Linked DNA regions of Sus scrofa. The protein of the gene in region 1 interacts with the protein of each later gene in a pairwise test. Links are inferred from orthologs where the notes say so. Each region holds a gene or a part of one and is shown on either strand. Other genes may lie near its edges.

Region 1 (12,169 bases):
ATATACTTCCTGCTTTGAGCCCTTAACAAAAATATTTGAATACCATTGATACTGATGGGTGGCATCATGGAGTTGCAGCCCCAGGACTCAGAGAAAAGCAGAGCATGTGCTTATTTCCATCTGGAAGTCACTGGGTAACTGTCAAGTGCTTGAGGTTGGGCTGACTTTGGGCGAAGCCCTGGGTGTGGTGAGGAAGTTGTATGGACTTCCAGCTTCAAGATTTCAGAATCTGATTTTGGCAAAAGGCTTTTACACCTGGTTGCATAGGATATGTTTTCCAGGAAGCCTCCTGACTGATTTCTGCCACACGCTTGGAAGTCAACTAAGGAAAGTAAACTCCACCCCTGAGAAAATGATTCCATGTCCCAGGTCTGTTTCTGCCACTAGAATGTGAGCGCCATGAGGGCAGAGGCCGTGGCCTGTCTTCTTCTTTGCCAGATCCCCACTGTGCACAGCGGTGCTTTGCATAGAGTGGCTACTCAGTAAATATTTGTTGAATGAATGAGTGAGAAGTGAAAGGGAACTTGCCAATTAGTGGACAGTATTCCCTGGGCTCAACCATAAAACCGCTCATCTGGAGAAAGCTTGTGACCGTGAGAACGCTTGGTCACCTGGCTCTCCTGAGTGGCAAAGGAAGAGACCAGACAGCACCTGAAGACTCCATTTATAAATGACAAAGCCCTTGAGGGTTATCCAAAGGCTGGGAGGGGCGAGATGGTCTTTGGTCAAAGGCTGCTCCACCTCTTAAACCTTCCCTACTGGGTACCTCCACCTGGTGATAAATGTCAAGCAAGTGTCTGGAGCACAGTTGGTGGAAGGGGACACAGCTGACGGCAAGGCTGCAGCTCTCTTCTAGGTGTTTCCTCAGGGCAGTCTGTGGCCCGTGTACTGTTCTAGGGTCAGCAGCAGGGACCAGAGATGACATTGTAGAGCTCAGATATTTTCAGTGTGTCCAACACTAAGGTGGAAACAGCCATCAGCTCTTCATTTAGCTTCGGATGGTGATGACTTTTTCATAATGCCATAAGACATGAGGACTTCCTCCAATGTTCCTTATAGGTTTTTCCTGTTTAGATGGCAGCGCAGGGGCAGAGACACCCCCCACTTACAAGTGGGTGTATAAGGAAAACCTTCAGACCCCTTAAAACACCTAACAGACTTGGGACGGGCATGGCATGTAGAGATGTAAAGGCAGCTTCATGAGGCGAGGGTGGCTGAACTCTCAGTTGTGGTTCAGGGCACTGGTGGTGGCCCCCAGCTGTTCAGTGCAGGCTCCGCTCAGGGTGTGTGTAGCCTGCTTTCTGCTAAGTGGCTGGGACCAATCCTCAGGTTTCCTGAAGGGTGGGCATCTGATGTGGATGAGGTGTTCCTGGCAGTACCTTTACAGTTAAGCTGATCTCAAAGCCTGCCTCCAGCTCAGTTTCTCCATGTGGTGGCTACGTGGCCTTAGTTGTCTAGAGTTCCTGCAGCTCTTTCAGGATCAGCTTTTACTCGTATCTGAAAATTGGACTAGGGGTCTGTCTTCTAATCAAGTATGACACAGTGAACACGTGAATTTATGTGTTCCTTGCTGAAATCCCACTAAAATGAGAGTAAGGGAATCAAAAGGTATAAATCAATAAGGACAGAGAGTTCCCTGGTGGCCTAGTGGTTAGGACTTGGAGTTTTCCCAGCTGCAGCCCAGGTTCAATCCCTAATCTGGGAACGGAGATCCCACAAGCTGCTACATGCTACAGCCAAAAAATAAATACAGATTTAAAAAAAAATAAGGACAAAAATGAGCAAAATGAAAGCAGAGAAGAGATGTCAACCAAGTGCTGAAAATTGGGACCATCTGGATGAACGGAGGTGACCTGCCTGAGCTGCACTGTAGTTGTGCTGAGAGCCTGCAGGGGAGAAGCGTACAGGGAGCAAGCTGCTCCCCCTGCGAAGGCCCTGGGGCTGCAGAGGCCACGCACTCGGGGGGCGGGAGTGTGGAGAGGCTGGAAAGAAGAGGACTTTTTGCACATTTGGGGGATTACTTGAAGGCATGCTCCCTAAAGCAGTAGATAAAACCAACAAAGAGGTCAACCTCGAGCCAGAAACAAGGGCTTCAAGCCAGGGGAGAGGAGGTGAAGCCCAGCCACGCAAGGGCTCAGTCCTCCCTGTCTACAGTTGCAAAGTCGAGGACTAGGAGCAGACTAGCAGCATACTCCTCCCCTGTCACTGGGTGACAAATGGCCAAAGAACAGCTGAAAGAGTTAAATGTGGTTCCCTCAGTGCTCAAAGAGAGAGTAGGGCAGAAAATGCAGCCCTGGAGTTCCGGTCATGGCTCAGTGGTTAACAAATGCAACTAGGAACCATGAGGTTGAGGGTTCGATCCCTGGTCTTGCTCAGTGGGTCAAGGATCCAGCGTTGCTGTGAGCTGTGGTGTAGGTTGCAGATGGGGCTCGGATCTTGAGTTGCTGTGGCTCGGCAGCTACAGTTCTGATTAGACCTCTAGCCTGGGAACCTCCATATGCCGCAGAAGCGGCCCAAGATATGGCAAAAAGACAAAAAAAAAAAAAAAATGCAGCCCTCATTTGAGGTCTTGTAGTGCTATTGGAATGTTTAAAATTATGCATGTGCATAGGAATTACTTTGACTAAAATTTTTTAATATTTTAATAAGGTGTTAATAATAATAATAACTACAATCTCACATGATTATTATGAGAATTAAGGAATTACACATGATTCATGTGTCTAGCAGCCTGAACAGTGGCTGACACATATTCAACACATAATTGTTTTACTTTCTGTGTTTTACAGTTACTCGTTATTATGTTCATTATTAATATTAGTGAAATTAGTTCCTTCTCTCATCATCCCACTCCCAAACTGTGGCTAGTTCAGCACCAGGCAGAATGATAGGTTAGAAGGCCAGGTTTCATTGAGACCTACCATCTCCAGCCATTCTGTGGGAAGCCAGACTGGACCAGCCTCCTCCCCTATCTGCGCCCACCCTGACCATGGGCCAGAGTCAGTTCATTTCACTCTATGTATCCTCGTTATTCCAGAGTCACCTAACATACCCTGGGCCTTAGGGTTCTGGGCTGGTAAATCTGCCAGCCTCCAGGGAACAACTGGGTTTATGTTCAAACATGTGCCCAAGCCCTCTGTACAATTTGTGGTTTCGCCACTAAGTAAAAATGTCCCAAAGGCAAGTCTCAACTTCCAGAAACACCAGCATAAGAAGAATTTGATAATCACAAAAACACTGCTAGTCTACTCAGTCATGAGTTTCGTTGTTGGAAGTTTGGTTCATTGCTTTTATGCAGCTTGTTCACCCGGGCACTGTATTTGGCAGTCGCGCTGCACAGACTTTAAAGCCAGGATGTGTCTTGTCATTTTACTACTGCTACAAATTTTTAACATCTCCTCTTTTCTGGATTACATAACAATTACTATTATTATTTCATATCATTCAAGCTCTCACTCTGCAAGTAGCAAAACAGAAAATTATTGCAATAAATAGAATGTGTAAGAAGATTTATGGGGTTGCATAATCACCTGGCACTTAGGGAGCAAGTATTCCGTGCAAACCACTGTACTAGGCACTGAATCAGTTGTTACATAAAGAGCCTTAATGATCAGTTGGTTATTATTTGGCTGGTTAATTTAAGAGACAGTTTATCTATTTGCATCTTAAAGTAATGAAATAAAATGAGATCAAATCGTAATTACAAAAATGGTACTTTCCTTCTTCTCAAGAGATTTTGGAAGCAAGGGAAATAGCCAACTCCATCTCTGCAGTACGTTGTCAGCAATTCTTCCCAGTGCCATCTATATCCTGGCACTATCTAATTTAGTTTTGAATCTTAAGCAGAAATGAATAGCCATAGCGATGATAATAATTATATGTTAGGTTTATAGAACAGCTTTCTTTCTAAGAGCACAAGGCTCCTAGGGCCCTGCAGATGTTCCATGAGTCTACGTCTCCTAATAGGAAGCACAGCGAGGTCATTTCTAGATGGTCTCAGTATTGCTATCTGGTGTTGTGGGCTGCACTGACTGTACCATTAAAAAGGGGGCTCTTCACACCATGCCTTCTAGGAATGAACTCCTGCAGTGTTGTCTTTAGGAAAGGAATACTATAGCCAATGTGATTCGATGAGTAAGATGCACCCACTGCCCCTTTTTAATGACTGATGTGTATACTGCGTGTCAATCAGCAAGTGAATGCCAAGAGCCCATAGTACAACCTAGAGAACAGGGAAACATAACCTGAGCACCCTCTTCTTCTTTTTTTTTTCTTCGTCTCTAAACTTTTAAGTTGCTAAAGCTTAGGACTCTGCCTTGCTTTGCTCCTTTCCAGAGTCAATACCATGACCACGTCAGAGGATTTTCTTTTTATGATTCTCCTCTAGAAAATTTTAAAGTGAGACTGTCTGATCTAAGAGGTTGATTTTGGAAGATGTCATTTCTGTTAATTTCCTATTGTGTAGACTCTGGAGCTCTAAAGGACCTGTGAAGTGCAGAAACGTCTCCTGTGGATGTAATACCAGGCTGGGAGCAGGGGCAGCATCATGCCTCTTTCAAGATCACCATCTGGACTGGATTAGTGATAATGAGTTACTTCATTCTTAAATTGATAGAAAAGCATGGGCACCAGCTTCCTTCTCTCCTCCCAAGAGCAACTCTCTCTCCCATTGGTAAGGACTGACTTGGAAAAACATTTTCCTATAAAACAATTAGCCCGTGATTGGCAAACAAGCATTCAGTATAGCGACCCACTAAAACAAACAAATAAACAAAAGCAAGCTTCCAACGTGTTTGACACGGCCGGCGGGGGCAGGGGAGGGGGGCGCATACCTGGTGGACTCTTGCTTGTAGATGTCAATAATATTCTCCACCAGCAGGTTTCTCTGAAGCCCGTATATCCCATGTCTGTCCAAAACCACTTCGTGTCTGCAGGATGGGCAGCGGAATCGGCCCCCCGAGGCCACAGTGGTGCCTCCTCTTGTGGGCAAGTACGGGTTAGAGGCCTGTTCTTGCCGAGCAAGAAAAGAGGAATTGAGCATTGCCACAGGTAGCTTTCCTGGGACCTCCTTTCCCTCTCAGTTACTACAAACAACATCAACTCCTTGCTGGGAGATAGTAACTGGTCCCAAAACACAGGACCAACCCTCACCCATGGTCAACTGCAATGTGCCATTTTCAGCATGAGGTCCTTTTCCACCTAACGTTTTCATAACCAAAAGTTCCAGCCAGAAACTCCAACAGTAATGCCTTGGGCAGTAATTCATTTACAATTTTGAAACAGATTCAATGTTTCTAAAAGGACAAATATGATTCTTAATATTTTAATAAAATTAGATTTGAGAGCCAGGAGGAGGCTGATGGCAAAGCACAAAGCAAATCACTTTTAAAAATGGTCTTTCTTTTTGGTTGTTGTTTTAAATAAATGCAACCTTAGAACGCTTCCTAGAGAAATTCACCTCAGACTTAAGCACTTGATTGGGAGATGAGAACATTTTTTCCCTCTACCCCTAGATTCCAAACAAACCTACCTGGAAAATGTCACTGGCACATTTCCTGCACAGGTTGTGCTGGCAGGGAAGAATGACCACGGGCTTTGTGAACATCTCTAGGCAGATGGGGCAAATGAGTTGCTTCTCCAAGTTATCCATGGTCTGCTGCTCTTTGGAAAAAGACTTGTAATTCAAAGATGCGCTCATCTCCTGGCCGTCCCCGTGTGCACTGCCAGGGAAAGCGTGCTTCGAACGGTTTCGGCGAGTGATTCCTGGAAATAATTCCAAGGATTGTACAATCAAGCGTCCTTTACGTTTCTTTTGGTGGAGGACATTGTTTCAGGCTGGGGTTCAGAGCAGTGCTCGAGCTGTTTTTAGCAGCCGAGGGTCACGTGACAGCTGGCTGACTTCTCCATATAAGCCAGTGACAGGAGGATGGATTCTGACAGGTGACAGGGAACAGGGGCCAACATTCCTGGCCCAAGGAGTGAAGAGAGTGGGTGGGAAGGAGGACTGCAAAAGCCATTTAGACAGGGGTTGTGAGGAGCGGGAGGTGCCGCTGACAGTTGTCAACAACAAATGGGAATGTTCGTGCCGAGTCACTGAGCTATGCCCTCTGTGAGCACTCAATAAGGACTCGGTGACGGGCTTCTCCAGGACTGGGGAGAATGTCATCCAAGTAGAACGAAAGCCATTTCTGTGTTGAGAATTTAGGAAGCCAGTCACCAAAAGGAGCAATGACCCCCCTGCCTGAGGTGAAAACAGACAAAACAGGTCCTGAAGAGCATCATCCTGGCTTCACAAAGGTAGTCATCTAAAAAGCCTCGCTTCGTCTTAACCACTTCCTCTTTGTGAGGGTCAGGAAATGCGAAAAATTCCAACTTAAAAACTGATTGCTAATCTTTTCACCATAGGAGGCTCCACAAAATTTTAAAATATCCAAATGCCACTTGATGATCCAGGTTTTTTTAGAAGTTGTGAAAGAAAGCTCTAGTGTGCGTTTCCCTCCCTTTTGCCTACTCCTCTTTCATCCTATACCCCACCCCCACCCCCAAAATGCCCAGAAAATTGGACAGCCTTTAAACATTTAAATTTAGTTTCCATCGACAATCAGTAATACAGTAGTAACTGGGACATGGGGTCAGACCCCTTATTTCGTTTTGCCACACAGTGGGGAACAGATGGCAGGGCCATCTTCAGTGGACATGAAAACCGAGTCCTGCTTCCAGATCTGGGTTTTATCTGGTCTGAAATACCTATACCCCTTGGCATTTGTCTCACTTACCAAGGTGATTTTTTTTTTTTTAATGATAGTTTCTCTGGCCATTTCCTGGACTGTTTCTTGAGCCATCAGTTTCAGTTCTGATATTTGCCGGGATTTTGTGAAACCACTGTTTCAGCTATATGTTTTGTTTAAATATTTAAAATCAGATCAAAAATGAAAAAGAAACACGTCTATTTTTTATGTGCTAAATTTGCAGTTTTATTTCTCCTTGATTTTAAAAACCTCCTGCAATGAACACCTTGTGTTAGCACATCCCCAGCGTGCACTTAATTACCAGCAAAGAGTAGGGGGCTGTGACTGGTCATGGGTGCCCTTCATGCTAGTGCACTGAGCGCTTACTGAGAATCTAATAAGCTCTATTAACAAATAATAAGTTACGCGTATTCATAAACCTTTCAGAGATCTTTGGAGAATTTTCTTATTCCTTTCAATAGCTTTTTAGCAACTACAGCGAAGGAGAGAACTGGTGACATTTTTTTAGTGAGTAATTAGTTCACCTAGCTGAGGCGTTAACTGTGTTTATTATCACATGGGCTGTGATGGTCTGAGCAAGACATGAGAACTCTTTTCTAAACAAAATGAAGTTTCTATTGTAAAAGACCTTGCAACCTCAGGAAAAGCACTTAAATGAGTAATGTACATTGTAGCCAAGCCTATCCTTTTAAGAGGAAATCATTCCCTCAAAAAATACTGGTTGAGGAGTTCCTGTTGTGGCTTAGTGGGTTACAAACCCAAGGACAAGGGTTCGATCCCTGGTCTTGCTCAGTTAAGGATCTCATGGGTTAAGGATCTGGCGTTGCCATAAGCTGTGGTGAAGGTTGAAGACCTGGCTCGAATCTGGTGTGATGTGGCTGTGGTGTAGGCCAGCAGCTGTAGCTCTGATTTGACCCCTAGCCTGGGAACTTCCATAAGCCACACCTGCGGCCCAAAAAAATATATATTGGTTGAGCGTTTCTCAGGTGTCTCTATTGTGTTCGGCTCTGGGGATTGAAAACTGAATAAGACACAAGTCACTGTCCTCAAGGAACTCAGTCTGATATATAGCAGAGATAAAACATGCATATACAGAACCACAGTCCAAAGAACATGTGACAAAAACTGCAGGATGTGGAGGAGTCAGGAGGGCTTCATGGGTGGGGTGGCATTTGAGTTGATCCACTGAGGAACTTAGATGTTGATGGGCCTGTTGTTGCAGGGGACATAGGTGGAGCTTTCCAAGAGAAGGCACAGAAGCAAAGACAGGAGTGCAGGGAAAGCTCAGAGCAAATGGTGCTTTGGGCTGGAGTACAGAGCATGCTGCTGGCACACTGGCAGCCTGTGGACACTGTGCTGAAGAGTTTTTAACACTTAATAAATTAGACAACAGGAAGTCGTTGAGAGTTTCCCTGAGAGCTCTGCATTGGTTACATTTATCTCAGTGGTGGCTGGGATGGGCGAGGGTGAAGGTGACCTGGCTAATGACCAGATGGGAGATTGTTGCCAGTAGCCTAGGTGAGAGGTCAGATGCCCTGGCACCGGGCGACGGCAGTGGGAAAGGAAAGGAGGAAGTGGACTCTGGCAGCGACGAAAGTAAAATCCACAGAGGTGACTCAGATGCCTGAGCCTGAGCAACCACGGGGATGCAGTGAGAAGCTGCACAGTGAGTCAGGAGAGCCAGCTCCCATGTCTGCCTCGCTGGCTGATCCTGGGAAAGTGACCTCACCTAGCTATATTTCAGTCCTTTCATCTCTGAGTGGGATTCATAACCTAACTTAGCAGTTTTGTAGAAAAACCACTCTGTACCAGCACGAATTTTGACATTGAGACTCCCCAGTTAAATTACTTGCTGTAGAGTTGTGCTCTCTCCTCTGCTCTCTGTTATTCTCTGCTCCTTCTTGATCTCTGCCTTTGATCTGGCTTTGAAACTGCTCCTGGAAGCTACACAGGGAACCAGTGCAAATCCCACAGGAGGAAGAGCCAAGTTGATGGCTGAGAAGCGCCTTCCCCTCCTCATCCTCTTTCCTCTGTTCCTTGCTCCTCCCCTCTCTCAGAGACCAGCCGTCTGGGATTGGGGGATGTGAATTGGGAGTGGGACAAGGCGGGCGGGGGGGGGGCAGAAAATTTTTGTCTGCTCCCAAATCATCCAGAATCTGAGAGATGGGGAAAAATTCTGGACCTATATCAGAATTGAAGTCACCTTCAAGGCTCTGGGATTTGGAATGGACTTGGGCCTCCACGGAGGTGTGGAAACTAGCTTAGTCTCCCGAAGGTGGCCTGGATTTTATGGGGGTGTACAACTTCCTCACCTCTCCTACCCACCCCACCCCACCCCCACCTAGCACAGGGGGTTGAGGCCAACCAGGGGCAACCACACAGGACATTGCCACAGTTTGAGGTGCGCTGTGCCAGGGGTACAATCAGATACATTGAGAAGTGGAAGCAAAACCATCGTGGCTCTCACTTTCTCCAGAAGTTTCCCAATTCCCTCATCAGTCAGAGGAAGGAAGATGGATCCTAAGTACCCGAGTTTATACCTAACAGTGGAGTTGGCACTGAGGGCTGACAATAGACAGAGAGGACTCTTGACCTCTTTCAGCCTCTAGCTACCAGGCCAAGGGAACTCAGGCTTAAGGGTCCAGGGCATAGGAGTGAAGTGTAGACCTCAGTGTGTGCTTCATCTCAGGAAGGGAGGCAATGAGGTTCTAAACTCTCCTGCTTTTAGTACCAACACAAACATAGATATTTGCAGAGTACCAGTCACTTCTTAGAATAGACGTCTGTAATAGATATTATTATCTCCATTGAGTCAACTGTGGCTCCGTGAAATTAAGTAGTTGCCCAGAGTCATATGGGCAACTAGTTGTGAAGCAGATTCAAAGACACTTCTTTTGACTACAGAGCATGTGACCTCATTCACTAAGCTCCACTGCACTGTCCAGAGCCTGCAGCACACTGTCCATTAGAATTTTCTGCAATCGGGAATTCCTGTCATGGCGCAGTGGTTAAAGAATCCGACCAGGAACCATGAGGTTTCAGGTTCGATCCCTGGCCTTGCTCAGTGGGTTAAGGATCCTGCGTTGCCATGGCTGTGGTGTAGGCCGGCGGCTACAGCTCCGATTCGACCCCTAGCCTGGGAACCTCCATATGCCGCGGAAGTGGCCCAAGAAATGGCAAAAAGACAAAAAAAAATAAAAATAAAAATAGAATTTTCTGCAATGATGTAAAATTTCTGTATCTGTGCTGTCCGACCTCTAGCCATAAGTAGCTATCGAGTACTTGAAATGTGTATAGTGAGACTCAAGAACTGAATGTTTAATTTCATTTATTTTAAACTTAGGTTTAAACAGCCATATGGGGCTAGTGGTTACCGTATTGGACACCAGCCCTAAAACATGAGATATTAAAAAATCTTTGGGGAAAATTGAAATGTGTATAAAGGATTCTCCAGCAGGAACTGGGTCTACCTCATTGGTAGATTTTGTACTTTCTGATTAGGGTGACATGAAACTCCTCTAACCCCAGAGTAGTAAAAAAAGCATCATCAACTGTAGATTCCAGCTTGCAAAACAAGACAGAGCAAGCAGTCTGGGGATAGGAGGCATTAGTAAGCGCCCAGGGAATAGTATCAGGAATGCTAGAATGTCCTCAGCATTTCCTTTACCCATGTTCTCTTTGTCTCTTGCACACAGGTTCTCTAGGTCTCTTGCACACAGGTAATTGCAAACCCATGTACTTAAAAATAACCTAGGCTTAGCTCAAGGAACTGGGTAGTCATTCCTCAAACAAGAAAGATGAAAAGTGGAGCTAAAAAAAAAAAAAAAAAAAAGATAGATACTTGATGTTCCCCTTGTTGCTCAGCAGGTAAATAATCTGTCCATGAGGATGGGAGGGTTCGATCATTGGCCTTGCTCAGTGGGTTAAGGATCTGGCATCGAAGATGTGGCCAGGATCTGGTGTTGGTGTAGCTGTGGTTGTAGGCGATTTACCCCCTAGCTCAGGAACTTCCATGTGCAGGTGCAGCTGTTAAAAAAAAAAAAAAAAAAAAAAGATACATCTTAAAAGAAAAAAAGATACAGTTTGAAGTGAAGCAGTGAGGCAGAGTGCAGTCCTGGTGGAGGAGAAAATGAGAGGAACTAGAAGGCTGATCTTGCCTCTGGCTCAGCCTCCAAGATAGAGGAAAGTGAATTCTTCCTTCGCGTATCCACCAGAAGAGAGAAAGCTGGTGGCTAGTGGCTAGCTAAATCATTAAAACAGGGAGAGAAACACCAGATGATGTGGATATGGTGGATATGGAGACAGAGTTGGGGATTGTGGAAAAAGATTTAGTTAGACGGCAACACTAGGTTATGGGTGGACTGAGACTTTCAGGTCAACTTCAGCACTAGTTAAGTCACCTAAAAATTTAAAATTTAAAATAAAGCTCCTAAAAATGAAATCCTATGCTTAAAAAAAGAGGCCAATGCTTAATATTTTGCAGACCTGGTCCTCTTAAACAAAGACGAGGGAGTTCCCTGGTGGCTCAGTGGGTTAAGGATCCAGAGTTGTCACTGCTGTGGCTCTGATCACCTCTGTGGTGTGTGAGTTCAATCCCTGGTCCCAGACATGGGCTTGGCCAAAAACAAAAATAAAAACAAGACGGTGAGGTTGTTAATTCTTCTCTGCATTTTCATCCATCCACCCATCCATCCACCCACACATCCATCTCTCCCTTCCTCCCTTGACTAGTGGGAGTGCTCTATCTAGACCAAAGGCAGCACTTCTTTTGTTTTTGTTTTTTTGATTGTTTGTTTTGCAAGGCTTTTTTTGGCTATTCCCATGGTATGCGGAAGTTCCTGGGCTAGGGATAGAACCCGCGCCACTGCAGCAGCTCAGAGCTGGTTTTTCAAGTACCAGGCTCTGTTGATCAGTCCTGCGGGATATAACCCATCTGACCACAGGGGACATAATGTTATTTGGGAGGAAGGTGGTATCCTGGAGCTCAGAGTGTGATCCAAAAAAGCACTTTCTAACCACTATTCAACTTAAGAATTCGCCTCATACAACAAATATACTAGGGGAAAAAATTACACATACTGGGAAAAAATACAACCCAGGACTCTCAAGGAAAAGGATTCTTGCATTCTTACACCAAGGACCCAACTCATGACGTCTACAAAATACTTAACATTCTCCTTTTGTCTACATTGTGAGTCTTTCAGTTCAGCTGTTTTTCTCGCAATAGGCAGGCTGAATGTGTGATTTAAAAATTTTTAATGAACAGAAACATTTTTATAAAATCTAAAATAAAAAATTAACTGACTTGAAAAGAACTTAACAGAAGCTAATGTTTCTTTCATTAGATAGTTTGCAAAGTTCTGGCTGAAAGCTTTTTTTCTTCTTGATAATTACTCCTCCAAATTTATTGTTCATAAATT
Region 2 (11,539 bases), on another chromosome or scaffold:
CTCTAACTAGAAAGTAACCGTTAGAAAAAGAAAGCAATTAAGCAAGGAAGAAATTATTTGTGAAAAGCCAGTTAGAGTAAGTTAGTGGGTTAAGGACATAACATAATGGAGACTGTTTTAACTAGTTTTTAGCTGTAGAAATATTTCCTAATCATTAACCCTTGAGTCAGTCTTTTGAAACTGAGGGGAGGCCTGGGAGGTTAAAGGAAAAGCCTTTTACTTCAAAACATAAGGACTAGGAGTTTCGGTCGTGGCTCAGCAGTTAATGAATCTGACTGGAATCCATGAGGACGCAGGTTTGAGCCCTGGCCTCGCTCAGTGGGTTAAGGATCTGGTGTTTCGGTAAGCTGTGGTGTAGGTTACAGATGCAGCTCGGATCCTGCGTTGCTGTGGCTGTGGTGTAGGCCGGCAGCTACAGCTCAGATTCTACCCCCAGCCTGGGAACCTCCATATACTGTGGGTGCAGCCCTAAAAAAAGCGAAAAAAAAAAAAAAAAAAAAGGAAAAGCCCACAAGGACTCAAGGGCTTATACATGGTTTCAGTCTACCTTTTTCTTTGATGTTCCTCAATCTTAAGAAGGAACCAGTGTGGAACAAGAAAGGGAGTAAAGTTTAGATTGAGAGGTTCATCATAAACGTGGCAGAGGATCTTGGTTTTAGTTCCGTCTCTGATTTAGAGACCGACAACCTCTATATCCCCATCCCAGCTCCTGCCTGAGCCTCTTCAGCCGCCATCCCATCGTCTTATATGGTGCCCTCTCTGGCGGGGCCTGACTGCCTTCTGAGCTCTCCTTTTAGCCCCAGAAGAAGCCCACACATCCTTGTCAGCCAGAGTTGTCTCTGCTTTTCCCATCCTGGCAGTTGCAGCCAGCCTCCTATGCTTCTCCGGGTAAAGGCAAGTTCCTGAGAGCTCCCTGTGTTCTGCTCCAGAAACAGCCCCAGGCAGGTACACTCAGAGCCCAGGAGCTCTGCAGCAGTTGCCTGGGGCGCGGAGCCATTGGTTTTTCTTGCTGGTACCCCAGTCTCCACCAGGGTTTCTCTCATCTTCCCACATGGGAGAGGCTGCAGAGCCCTCCTCTCCTGTAACTTCCTTCAGAGGACCCTCCCCACCCCCTGCCAATGCATCACTAGCCTGCTCTGAAATAGGCTGTCATGGACCCATATGCCCACTGAGGAGCAAGTCCTATAAGGACAGAAAGTGGGGTGTTTATCACGCCTTTAGTTCTGAGTCAGCAGGAAGAGTCCTGTTCTCATGCCTGGTACATAGTCAACATCCAGTGCATGTTGGCCACTATCACTATTTAGCTTCTGTGGGCTTGAGTTTTCTTATCTGCAAGTCAGGGCTAATGGTAATCGCCACTCTGTTTCCCACTTAGTGCTGCTAATGTGTATGAAAGTGTTGTGAATTGGTTATTTTCATTTTTCAGCCTCAACAGAATGGGATCTCTCCACGAATGTTTAAGGCCTTTGTGAGCAAGAGCCACCCAGAATTCTCTTCCAACAGACAGCAGGATGCCCAAGAATTTTTCTTACACCTGGTGAATCTAGTAGAGGTGAATCAGTCTTTCAAAATGCTGGAAAGAGTTGTAAGAAGTGTGCCCCGCCCTTGCATGCAGTCCCCGCTGATGTGGCTGGAACGCCCCCCTCCCCACCTAATTCAGAATTGGTTCTTTGGGGCTTCCTCCTCTGGGCCCATTTGATATAATCACCCTCCTGGGCACTTCTGGGTCTGCCTGTTCTCCTCTTAATTTGAACGTGTTATAGGAGTGTTGATCCATTATTTCTATTCGCTGTTTTTGTTTTTTTTTTGTCCCTGCAACATGCTTCCTGAGAGTCCCGCATGGTATTTGGTGTCCTCCTGCCATCACTCCGAGACAGTCACTCTTGGCTCAGAGCAGAGGCAAATCACATTAAATGCTGTGGTTTTTAAAGGCTACGGAGAATTCATGATTAAAGGCTTTTTTCCCCTCTGAAAAGAAACAACTATTTTTTTTCCTGATGACAAATGTGTTCCTTGTGGAAACAGAAAGGCACAAAGGAGAAAACCAAAACCTCCATGCTACCAGCCCCACGAATGATCAATGCTGATATTTTGGTGTCTGACCCCCCCACCCTGGTGATTTTCCAGGTGAAATCAATTCTTTGCATGCTGATTTTCATTTGTGAATGTTTTGCCATGTCATTACATACTTGAATATAACGTGACTTCTTTTTGATTTTTATATAATTTGCATTAGTGCATTTACATAATCGTATCATACATGGATTAGTTTTTCCAGGGCAGTCCTTGATTTTTTTTTTTTTCCTCCTTTTTCTTTAATTGGGTTTCCTCATCTCCTTTCTTCTAGTTCTATCTAGGTCAGAAAAAGTCTCTGCCATGACTTTTAATGGCTGCATAATGTTAATTCACATGATGAACTATAATTTATTTGACCAATCTGCCATGTTTGGACTTTAGGTAAATACCAGTCTTTTGCTTTGAAGTTCTCTGGTGAACTGGCATGCCCAGAGGGAACATTTGGTAGCACCAGGTCTTTACACCAGATTTATGTGTGATTTTATGCTAATTTTCATTCAGGGCTTAATATTCATGAATTTACTAACCTGATATAATCCAACCTTCAGAGGAACCGCATTGGCTCAGAAAACCCAAGTGACGTTTTTCGGTTTTTGGTGGAAGAACGCATTCAGTGCTGTCAGACCCGGAAAGTCCGCTACATGGAGAGGGTGGATTACCTGATGCAGTTACCCGTGGCCATGGAGGCGGCGACCAACAAGGGTAATGGGGATGAGCAATGGACTTCATCATGTAGAAACTTGCACCAGAGATACTGCCGTTTAGTCATGCATGGTTGACTGAACAAGAGTGGACCCAGTGTTTGGCTTGCTCTTTTCAAAAGCTCTTCAGCTTTTCCTCCGTCCCCGTCTGACTGAGATTTTTGTAGAGGATTTATTCAGGGAACCTACTTGGGCACCTATGAAATTTGACCCAGTGGTTGGTTTAGAGTTAGCTTAATGTGGAGGAAATTATTAGTAATTTAATATTATCATTCCTAAGTACTGTAAAGTCTGAGGAAAATGATCAGAACTGCGTTTTTTGATGTGAGACATTCAAGCAGAGGCCTCTGTAAATAATCCAGCTTTGACAGCTGAGTAAGATGCCTGCTGGGATAAAGCATGGCAGGGCTCTTTGTGGAGTGAGGCCCCTTAGGAGGGTCTCTGGACCTAGGAAGCAGGAAGAAGGCAGATACTGGAACCAGGTGGAGGCTCAGGGGAAGGTTCCTTCAATCAGTCTGATCTGGTTCTTCATGAATTAGTAGAATTAACATCTTAGAAGCAGGAAAAGGAGAAATATCTGCTGACTTGCTTATCTCCCGTGAACTGGTCATTTTTGCAAAGTTCAGCCACTCCCCGGGTGACCTTTTCCTCTTTTTTTGGAGGGGATAGTCACTTAGTTGTGTTAATTAGAAAGTGATGATTATGATGATTTTTTTTTGGCTGCCCCACAGCATATGGAGTTCCCAGTCCAGGGATCAGATCCAAGCCGCACGACCTCAGCTGCAGCTGCGCCCTGGCTCTGCAGAAATGCCCCTGTTCCTGTTGTGCCACATCAGGCACTCTTGTGATGATTTTTAAGATGGAATGATTTCCATTTTCTATAAACTCATGCAGCTTTTGACTAGTTTATAAATTCTTAATTTTTTTTTTAATTTGTCTTTTTAGGGCCACACCTGTGGCATATTGAAGTTTTCAGGCTAGGGGTCAAATCAGAGCTACAGCTGCCAGCCTGTGCCACAGCCATAGCAACACCAGATCTGAGCTGTGTCTGCAACCTACAGCATAGGCCACAACAACTACAGATTCTGACCCCCTGACCGAGGCTAGAGATCGATCCTGCAGGGATGAATCCTAGTTGGATTTGTTTCCACTGCACCACAATGGGAACTCCTAGTTTTTAAATTCTTATTCATTATACAAAGGAAATGATGGTGGGGGTCTGTGGTTTGTTTCCTTTTTAGCACCAGGCTTCATCACTTTCTCTTGCCTACTTTGGGGATAGTGACTTACATATTCTGCTCAGTTCTGTGATCTTCTCTAATTGACTGTTGATAGCTTATGAGAGGTAACTTTTTTTTTTTCAGGAAAGAGATTTATGATTTAGTCTCAGAAAATTGCTGGGAATGCCTAATGCTAGCATCCTAGATAGAAGTACATTGTAAACTGATTGTGGACTGGGGAATGAATTGTAAAAGCATATCCAGATGTGTTTAAGAAAACACAAGTGTTTATCAGTGTGCCAAAAAGCTGATAAATCAGGAGTGATTTTTTTTTTTTTTGGTAACACAAAAGAAATTCCCAGAAAGTTCCATTCAAAATCTATATAACATTTTGACTTTGGCTTCCCTGCTCTCTGCAGTGTCGGGTAACCCCAGCATGAAGTTGTCTTGGCAGTGTTTGTTAGAATCTTGGGCTGGGTGCCTCGGATAACTGCAGTTCTTGTAGTTCTTCCTGCTCCTTGGCCCACACCCTCCATGACCTCTAATTGTAGTGACAGGCCCAGGAAGAGGTGAGCCCTCAGGTCTCTTTCAGTGTGAAATTCTGTGGTGTGAAGGCTTTGTGATTTGAGGGTGGTGTGTGGTTAAACCAGCCTTGACTTCTGGACAAATGAAAGACCAGGTTCATGCATCACTTATGGCACATGTGTGGTTTGACCCCCTCACTTGGGTGGGAGTTGATAGTTCCCTCCTATCAGTCTCAAACGGAATGGGTAAAAAACTATGAATGGCTTGATGCAGCCTGGTGGTGCCACTCTAAACAAGCTTTGAGCAGGCTTCTGTGGCTCTTTGAGGGCAGCAAGTAAGCAATCCTGTCCCAGCCCAGGACCTTCAGGGAAGATTGCTCATTGTCCAAGGGGTTTTGTTTTTTTTTTTTTTAGGGCCACACCCTTGGCATATGGAGGTTCCCAGGCTAGGGGTCCAATCAGAGCTACAGCTACTGGCCTACACCACAGCCACAGCAACACCAGATCTGAGCCACATCTGTAACCTGCACTACAGCTCACAATGACACCAGATCCTTAACCCACTGAGCAAGGCCAGGGATTGAACCCTCAACCTCATGGTTCCTATTCGTATTCGTTTCCCCTGAGCCATGATGGGAACTCCCAAGAGGGTCTTTTTTATTTCAAGAAGATAAGTGATTGCAAAGTCATTTGTTTGCTCTTTTGCTTAGATGAGTTGATCGCCTATGAACTAACGAGAAGGGAAGCAGAAGCAAATAGAAGACCCCTTCCCGAGTTGGTGCGTGCCAAGATACCATTTAGTGCCTGCCTTCAGGCCTTTTCTGAACCAGAAAACGTTGATGATTTCTGGAGCAGTGCCCTACAAGCAAAGTCTGCGGGTGTAAAGTAAGTGTGTGTGTGTGTGTGTGTGTTTGTAATGTTTCTGCACTCGCTTATGTGGTGGCAGTAGGGTAAGGAGGGGACCTTGAGAGGTGGGGACTGTGGTAGGGAGGGTTGGCAGGCACTGTATGAGTCTGGGCATGCTTGACTCAAGTGTGGTGAAATAGGATTATAATTTACACAACCATAGTTGTCGTAGACCTCACTTGTATGAGACTTGTACAGTAAAACAGGCTTGTTGTAATCTATATCATATGCAAGGATGTGGATGCCTTTAAAAAAAAGCCAGGCTGTGGTTTGTCCTCTTTAGGGAATTTGCCTTTTTTTTTTTTGGCCAAGAGGGGGTAGTCAAGAATCCTTCCCTGCTTCAAGAATGATATCAGAAGTATAAATACTTCTGAGAGTCTTCAATTTTTAAACTCTACTGTGATAGACTTTAATTTGATAATGAAAGATTTGCTGGAGTTCCTGCTGTAGCACAGTGGGTTAAGGATCTGGTGTTGTCTCTGTGGTGGCTCAGGTTGCTGCTGAAGCTTGGCGTCGTGGGTTAAGGATCTGGTGTTGGTGCAGTTGTGGCATAGGTGGCATCTGTGGCTGGGATTTGATTCCTGACCATGGAACTTCCAGATGCTGTGGGTGTGGCAAAACAAAAAAAAGATTTGCCTTAGGACTTGGTGGCTGTGGTCCTGCCTGGCAGCTGGGGCTCTGAGGGTTTCTCAAAGGGGACATCAGGGATCCTGAGCATTGTTCCAACGAGCTGCTTAGGATGTGGTCAGCAGGTGTTCTAAAAGCCTTGCTCTCAGATACATAAGAATTTTGATATTCTTGTTGTGGTGCAGCAGAAACAAATCTGACTAGTATCCATGAGGATGTGGATTCAATCCCTGGCCTCTCTCAGTGGGTTAAAGATCCATTGTTGCCATGAACTGTGGTGCAGGTCTCAGATGTGGCTCAGATCCCATGTGGCTGTGGCTGTGGTGTAGGCCAGCAGCTGTAGCTCTGATTCCACCCCTAACCTGGGAACTTTCATATTCCAAGGGTATGGCCCTAAAAAAGCCAAATAAAAAATTTTTTTTTCCTTATTTGACACCTTAATTTTTTTTTTTTTTTTTTTGGTCTTTTTGCTATTTCTTGGTCCGATCCCGCGGCATATGGAGGTTCCCAGGCTAGGGGTTGAATCGGAGCTGTAGCCACCGGCCTACGCCAGAGCCACAGCAACGCGGGATCCGAGCCGCGACTGCAGCCTACACCACAGCTCACGGCAACGCCGGATCGTTAACCCACTGAGCTAGGGCAGGGACCGAACCCGAAACCTCATGGTTCCTAGTCGGATTCGTTAACCACTGCACCACCACGACGCGAACTCCAACACCTTAATTGATTTTATACAGTCAAGTGAGTCCTTACCAGCACATTTCATATAGTTGGAAAAGAGGACCTTACGGTAGGATAAAAAGAGGGGAGGTCTAAAAGTTAGGCTCTGGGTCTCTCGCTGCTTTTAAATATTCTTCAGCAATTTTTCCTCTTGGCTGAGACCGAGCGCTGGCTGATGTGAAGGGGAAGGAAGTATGGATGAGCTACTGCTGGCTGTTTTTTTTTTTTTTTTTTTAATCACTACCTCAAGTAGCAGTCAAACCTGAATCTGTTATTTCCCGTGACAGCCATCCCTCAGGATTCCTGTTTCAGATGATTGACTTCATGTTTTAAAAATGGGAAAACAGAAAGAACCTACTTCAAAAGCTAAAAAACGCTATTTTTTTCCTTAAAATAATTTCTTTGAAAAAGTTTCTTCCTATCTAAATGAGATTAATAATAGTTATTGATTATCTATTGAGTGGTAAATTTTCATTCTAGGACTGCTTAGTTTTGTGTATGTGTATATGTGTTTGTCTGTGTGTTTGTGTCCTTGCAGATAATGGTTAGTGAGTTGGCATGTTGAACGTTAGAGATTCACTTCATTCCAACTTGGACACATCTTTGGGCAGCTAGAAATCTACACTCAATATTAGTGGTGGAAACAATGTCTTTTTTTCTCTTGGCTTTACTGACATATAATTGACATATAAGGTTGTACATCATGTAGATTTTGTTTTTTTACTTTTTTTTTTTTTGTCTTTTTAGGGCTGCACCTGTGGTACATGGAGGTTCCCAGGCTAGGGGTCGAATCAGAGCTGTTGCTGCTGGCCACAGCCACAGCAATGCCAGATCTGAGCTACATCTGTGACCTACACCATAGCTTACAGCAACGCTAGATCCTTAACCCACCGAGCGAGGCCAGGAATCGAACTCACAACCTCATGGTTCTCAGTTGGATTCGTTTCTGCTGCGCCACGATGGGAACTCCTATTTTTTCCACTTTAACTATTGACAGTAGGGTGAAGATTCCCCAAACATTTTTCCTTTTCTCTCTGGGCTTTAGTTGTGATTCTGTATGGAAGCCCCCAACATCAGGTGTGAACTGCAGAGTGGTCTTCACTGGTCTCTCCACTTGGTCACCCTTTTCTGCTTTTCGGAAAAGTGGCCCCATGTCTTAGCCGTGCAGGGCGTGACATGCTCTCTGGACCTTTGGGAAGGAGCCTTCTCATCCTTAGGAAAAGGCCCATTTCTAAGGTGGAGCTGAGGGCATTAGCTTTCCACAGAGACAGTCTCTGACCCCTGGGCCTGTGCTCAGGAGATCTGGATTCTTCTCCTGTGTTCTGTTCTGGGGCAAAGACCACTCAAGGAACTTCTGACCTCTGAATGGAGGAATGATGCTCACTGATCTTATTGTCTCCTCAAATTCTACAAATATATGTAGTTGTAGGCAGTGCTAGTATGATATTTAGAATCCTTGAGGAGGGGTTTCTGCTTTCTCTAACCCTTAATAGTAGATTTAAATGTGTTTTTTCTTTTTTTTTTTGGTCTTTTTAGCTATTTCTTGGGCCGCTCCCACGGCAAATGGAGGTTCCCAGGCTAGGGGTCGAATCGGAGCTGTAGCCACCGGCCTACGCCAGAGCCACAGCAACGCGTGATCCGAGCCGTGTCTGCAACCTACACCACAGCTCACGGCAACGCCGGATCGTTAACCCACTGAGCAAGGGCCTGGACCGAACCCGCAACCTCATGGTTCCTAGTCGGATTCGTTAACCACTGCGCCACGACGGGAACTCCTAAATGTGTTTTTTCTTTTCTCTGTCTTTTACATACATACACTTATGGTTTATGTATATGAAAAAAACGTATACTAGATGCATCACAATGTTAATAAACTGGTCATTGTGGGAAAGGAAAACAGTGTTTTAGGATAATAGAGCAACTACCATTTAGGGCATGTGATAAATGCTTCCCATCAGTTATCACTTAATCCTCTTAGTACTACCCTGAGGTTGGTACATGATTCTTCCCATTGTACAGAGGAGGAGATAAAAGGAACTAATTGGCCAGTAAGTGAAGTTCCCAGGCCAGGGGTCAAATTGGAGCTATAGCTGCCGGCCTACGCCACAGCCACGCCCGATCTGAGCTGCATCTGCCACCTACACCACAGCTCATGGCAGCACTGGATCCCTGACCCACTGAGTGAGGCCAGGCATCAAACCCGCATCCTCAGGGATACTAGTTGGATTTGTCTCCACTGCACCACAACAGGAACTCTCCATCTTTATAATCTTTATAGAACCTTGTTTATTCCTTATTATGCCGTATCATGTTTCAAATATTAGTTTTGGGGAAACCAGTTTAGTGGCTTTCTAAAAGATCTTTTTCTCTTCTTATTTCTAACAATACAGACATGATCTCCTTATTATGTTAATTTGGGGCCTTGAATTTTTCTGCCTTAGACCCAGATCCTGAAAGCCTAGGAAGAGACAGGAGATATCCTCTTGGTAGATCTTGGGTCAGTGGTCACCAGACATAAAGGCCCTTTCCTTAATTGGTCATGAACAGACAGTGACCAGGAAGAACATTAGTGACTGGAAAGTTTACCCAGTGAATATTATTGCTCAGCCAGTGTATTGTCAGCAATGAGTTGAATAAGACCTAGTTCCTCCCCTTAATCAGCTTACAGGTTAAGGGTCAGTAGGGAGAGATTTTGTTCTGACCTTTATCATTTAGGAAGAGAAAAGCATGGTATGCAGTTCCAGAGCATAAGCTTTAGTGGACTGGCAGCATTTGAATCCTCAGTGTAGATAGAAACTATTGGTGTGTGACCTTGGCTCAGTGACCTCACTTCCATAAGACCCCGTTTCCTTATATGTAAATTGGGGATAAGAATAGTATTTTCTTTATAGGCTTGAGGTGAGGATTAAGGCAAGGTAAGCTACATAAAATGCTTTGCACAGTGCCTGGGAGAATAAATATATACTGTAATTATTACATTATTGTTTTCTTTTTAGCCTTGGATGGTTCAATTTGACTGGTTGATTATCGCATTTTCAACCTATTTAATGGAAAGAATAGAATTACATTTTTTTAGTTGCCAGGTTTTCAATAAAATAATAATTTTAGGGAGAGGGACAGTTTATATATTTTTTCTTAAGGCTTTTATAGTGTTTTTTCCTGAATTGTAATTAGTGAAGAATTGATATAAATATATATTTTTAAATGATTTTTATTTTTTATTTTAAAAAAATTTTCCATTATACTTGGCTTACAGTGTTCTGTGCATTTTCTCCTGTACAGCAAAGTGACTGAGTCACACACATACATATATGTATATATATATTTTTTCTCACATTATCCTCCATCATGCTCCATCACAAGTGATTAGATGTAGTTCCCAGTGCTATACAGCAGGATTTCATTGCTTACCCATTCAAATGCAATAGTCTACATCTATAAATCCCAGACTCCCAGTCTATCCCACTCCCTCTCCCTCCCCCTGGGCAACCACAAGTCTGTTCTCCAAGTCCATGAGTTTCTTTTCTGTGGAAAGGTTCATTTATGCCATATTTTAGATTCCAGATATAAGTAATATCATATGGTATTTGTCTTTGGCTTTCTGACTTCACTTGGTATGAGTTTCTAGTTTCATCCATGTTGCTGCAAATGGCATTGTTGTGTTATTTTTTATGGCTGAGTAGTATTCCATTATGTATATATACCACATCTTCCTAATCCATCATCTGTCGATGGACATTTAAGAATTGATATATTTTAAATAATGATACCAGATTGTCATAGACAAGGCAGCAGTGTTGTCAGGCACTATTCTAAGCACTTTATGTCCTCAGTTCCCATAACAATTCTTTGAGGTAAATTTGCTCTGTGTCTATTTAGGCCTTTTTGAATGATTTATATTCTAATGGTCCTCCTTAACATAAAACTTTTCAAGAAAAATTTTAATTCCAGGAATTAAATTTAGGAATAAAAGGGTAAGTGCTGCATAGTTTATAACATTGCTGGATTTAACTAACACACTCGATGTCCCAAACCTGCAATTAATGAATGCCAAGTATTAATTTTGAGATTGCTCAATATAAACTTGTTCAAATTCGTTACTGCATGTGTGATTCAACTTGAGACCTTATGGAGGTTAGCAAGATGAGTAAGGAATGTTTACCCAGCAGGGCATATATAAGGTGGCCATCATCCAACCTGCTTTCTGGTACTCTTAGGTTAGTAGTTATCCATAACAAAGTGATGTGTTAAATTATCCACCCCCCGACCACCCTCGGCACCCTCCAGTGTCGAGATCCCTCCACTGCCCTGTACTCCATGGTGTTTCCAGCTGATTCCTCACCCAGATACTGACCACAGAGCAACACATAAGAGTCTTAGGGTTCCTGAACCACATTTTGGAAATCATTGATTTACTGATGACTTTTGGTTGATTTCATTGTTACGTTTTCCAGATTTTAAGTTACTCTGGTAAGAGGAAAGGGTCAGAGAGGTGACATTTTTACAGTAGTTGAAAATATCAGATGGAGTTTGTTGGTTTTTTGGGGAAATTGGAGATGCGGCTATATTTTAGAATGATGTGTGTTAATGCTTCTCAGGAGATAGGAAAACCTGGAGATAATATATAATTTCTGGAGAGTGAGCCAGGGTGATAACAGATCATTTCCTTAGGCTAGTGAAGTTTCTGTTTTTTGAAGAACTCCTTTATATTATTGCCTATACACTTCTGCCCTCCTTGTGATGGAGAATTTGAAATCCATAGAGG

Evidence for each region.
Region 2: the proteins of TRIM55 (region 1) and USP13 interact in a two-hybrid assay, tested with the Homo sapiens proteins (2 studies listed by BioGRID and IntAct). The link is inferred for Sus scrofa from reciprocal best matches to the Homo sapiens genes TRIM55 and USP13.

What each region holds. Positions count from the first base shown.
Region 1 is NC_010446.5:68,525,048-68,537,216, forward strand, and holds the start of TRIM55 (tripartite motif-containing protein 55), read right to left. Parts: upstream 5,881-12,169; 5' UTR 5,699-5,880; coding exon 5,531-5,698; intron 5,011-5,530; exon of another isoform or gene 5,006-5,010; coding exon 4,833-5,005; intron 1-4,832. UniProt on the Homo sapiens protein: E3 ubiquitin ligase that plays an important role in regulating cardiac development and contractility, muscle growth, metabolism, and fiber-type differentiation.
Region 2 is NC_010455.5:117,780,392-117,791,930, forward strand, and holds part of USP13 (ubiquitin carboxyl-terminal hydrolase 13), read left to right. Parts: intron 1-1,426; coding exon 1,427-1,552; intron 1,553-2,624; coding exon 2,625-2,778; intron 2,779-5,231; coding exon 5,232-5,406; intron 5,407-11,539. UniProt on the Homo sapiens protein: Deubiquitinase that mediates deubiquitination of target proteins such as BECN1, MITF, SKP2 and USP10 and is involved in various processes such as autophagy, endoplasmic reticulum-associated degradation (ERAD), cell cycle progression or DNA damage response.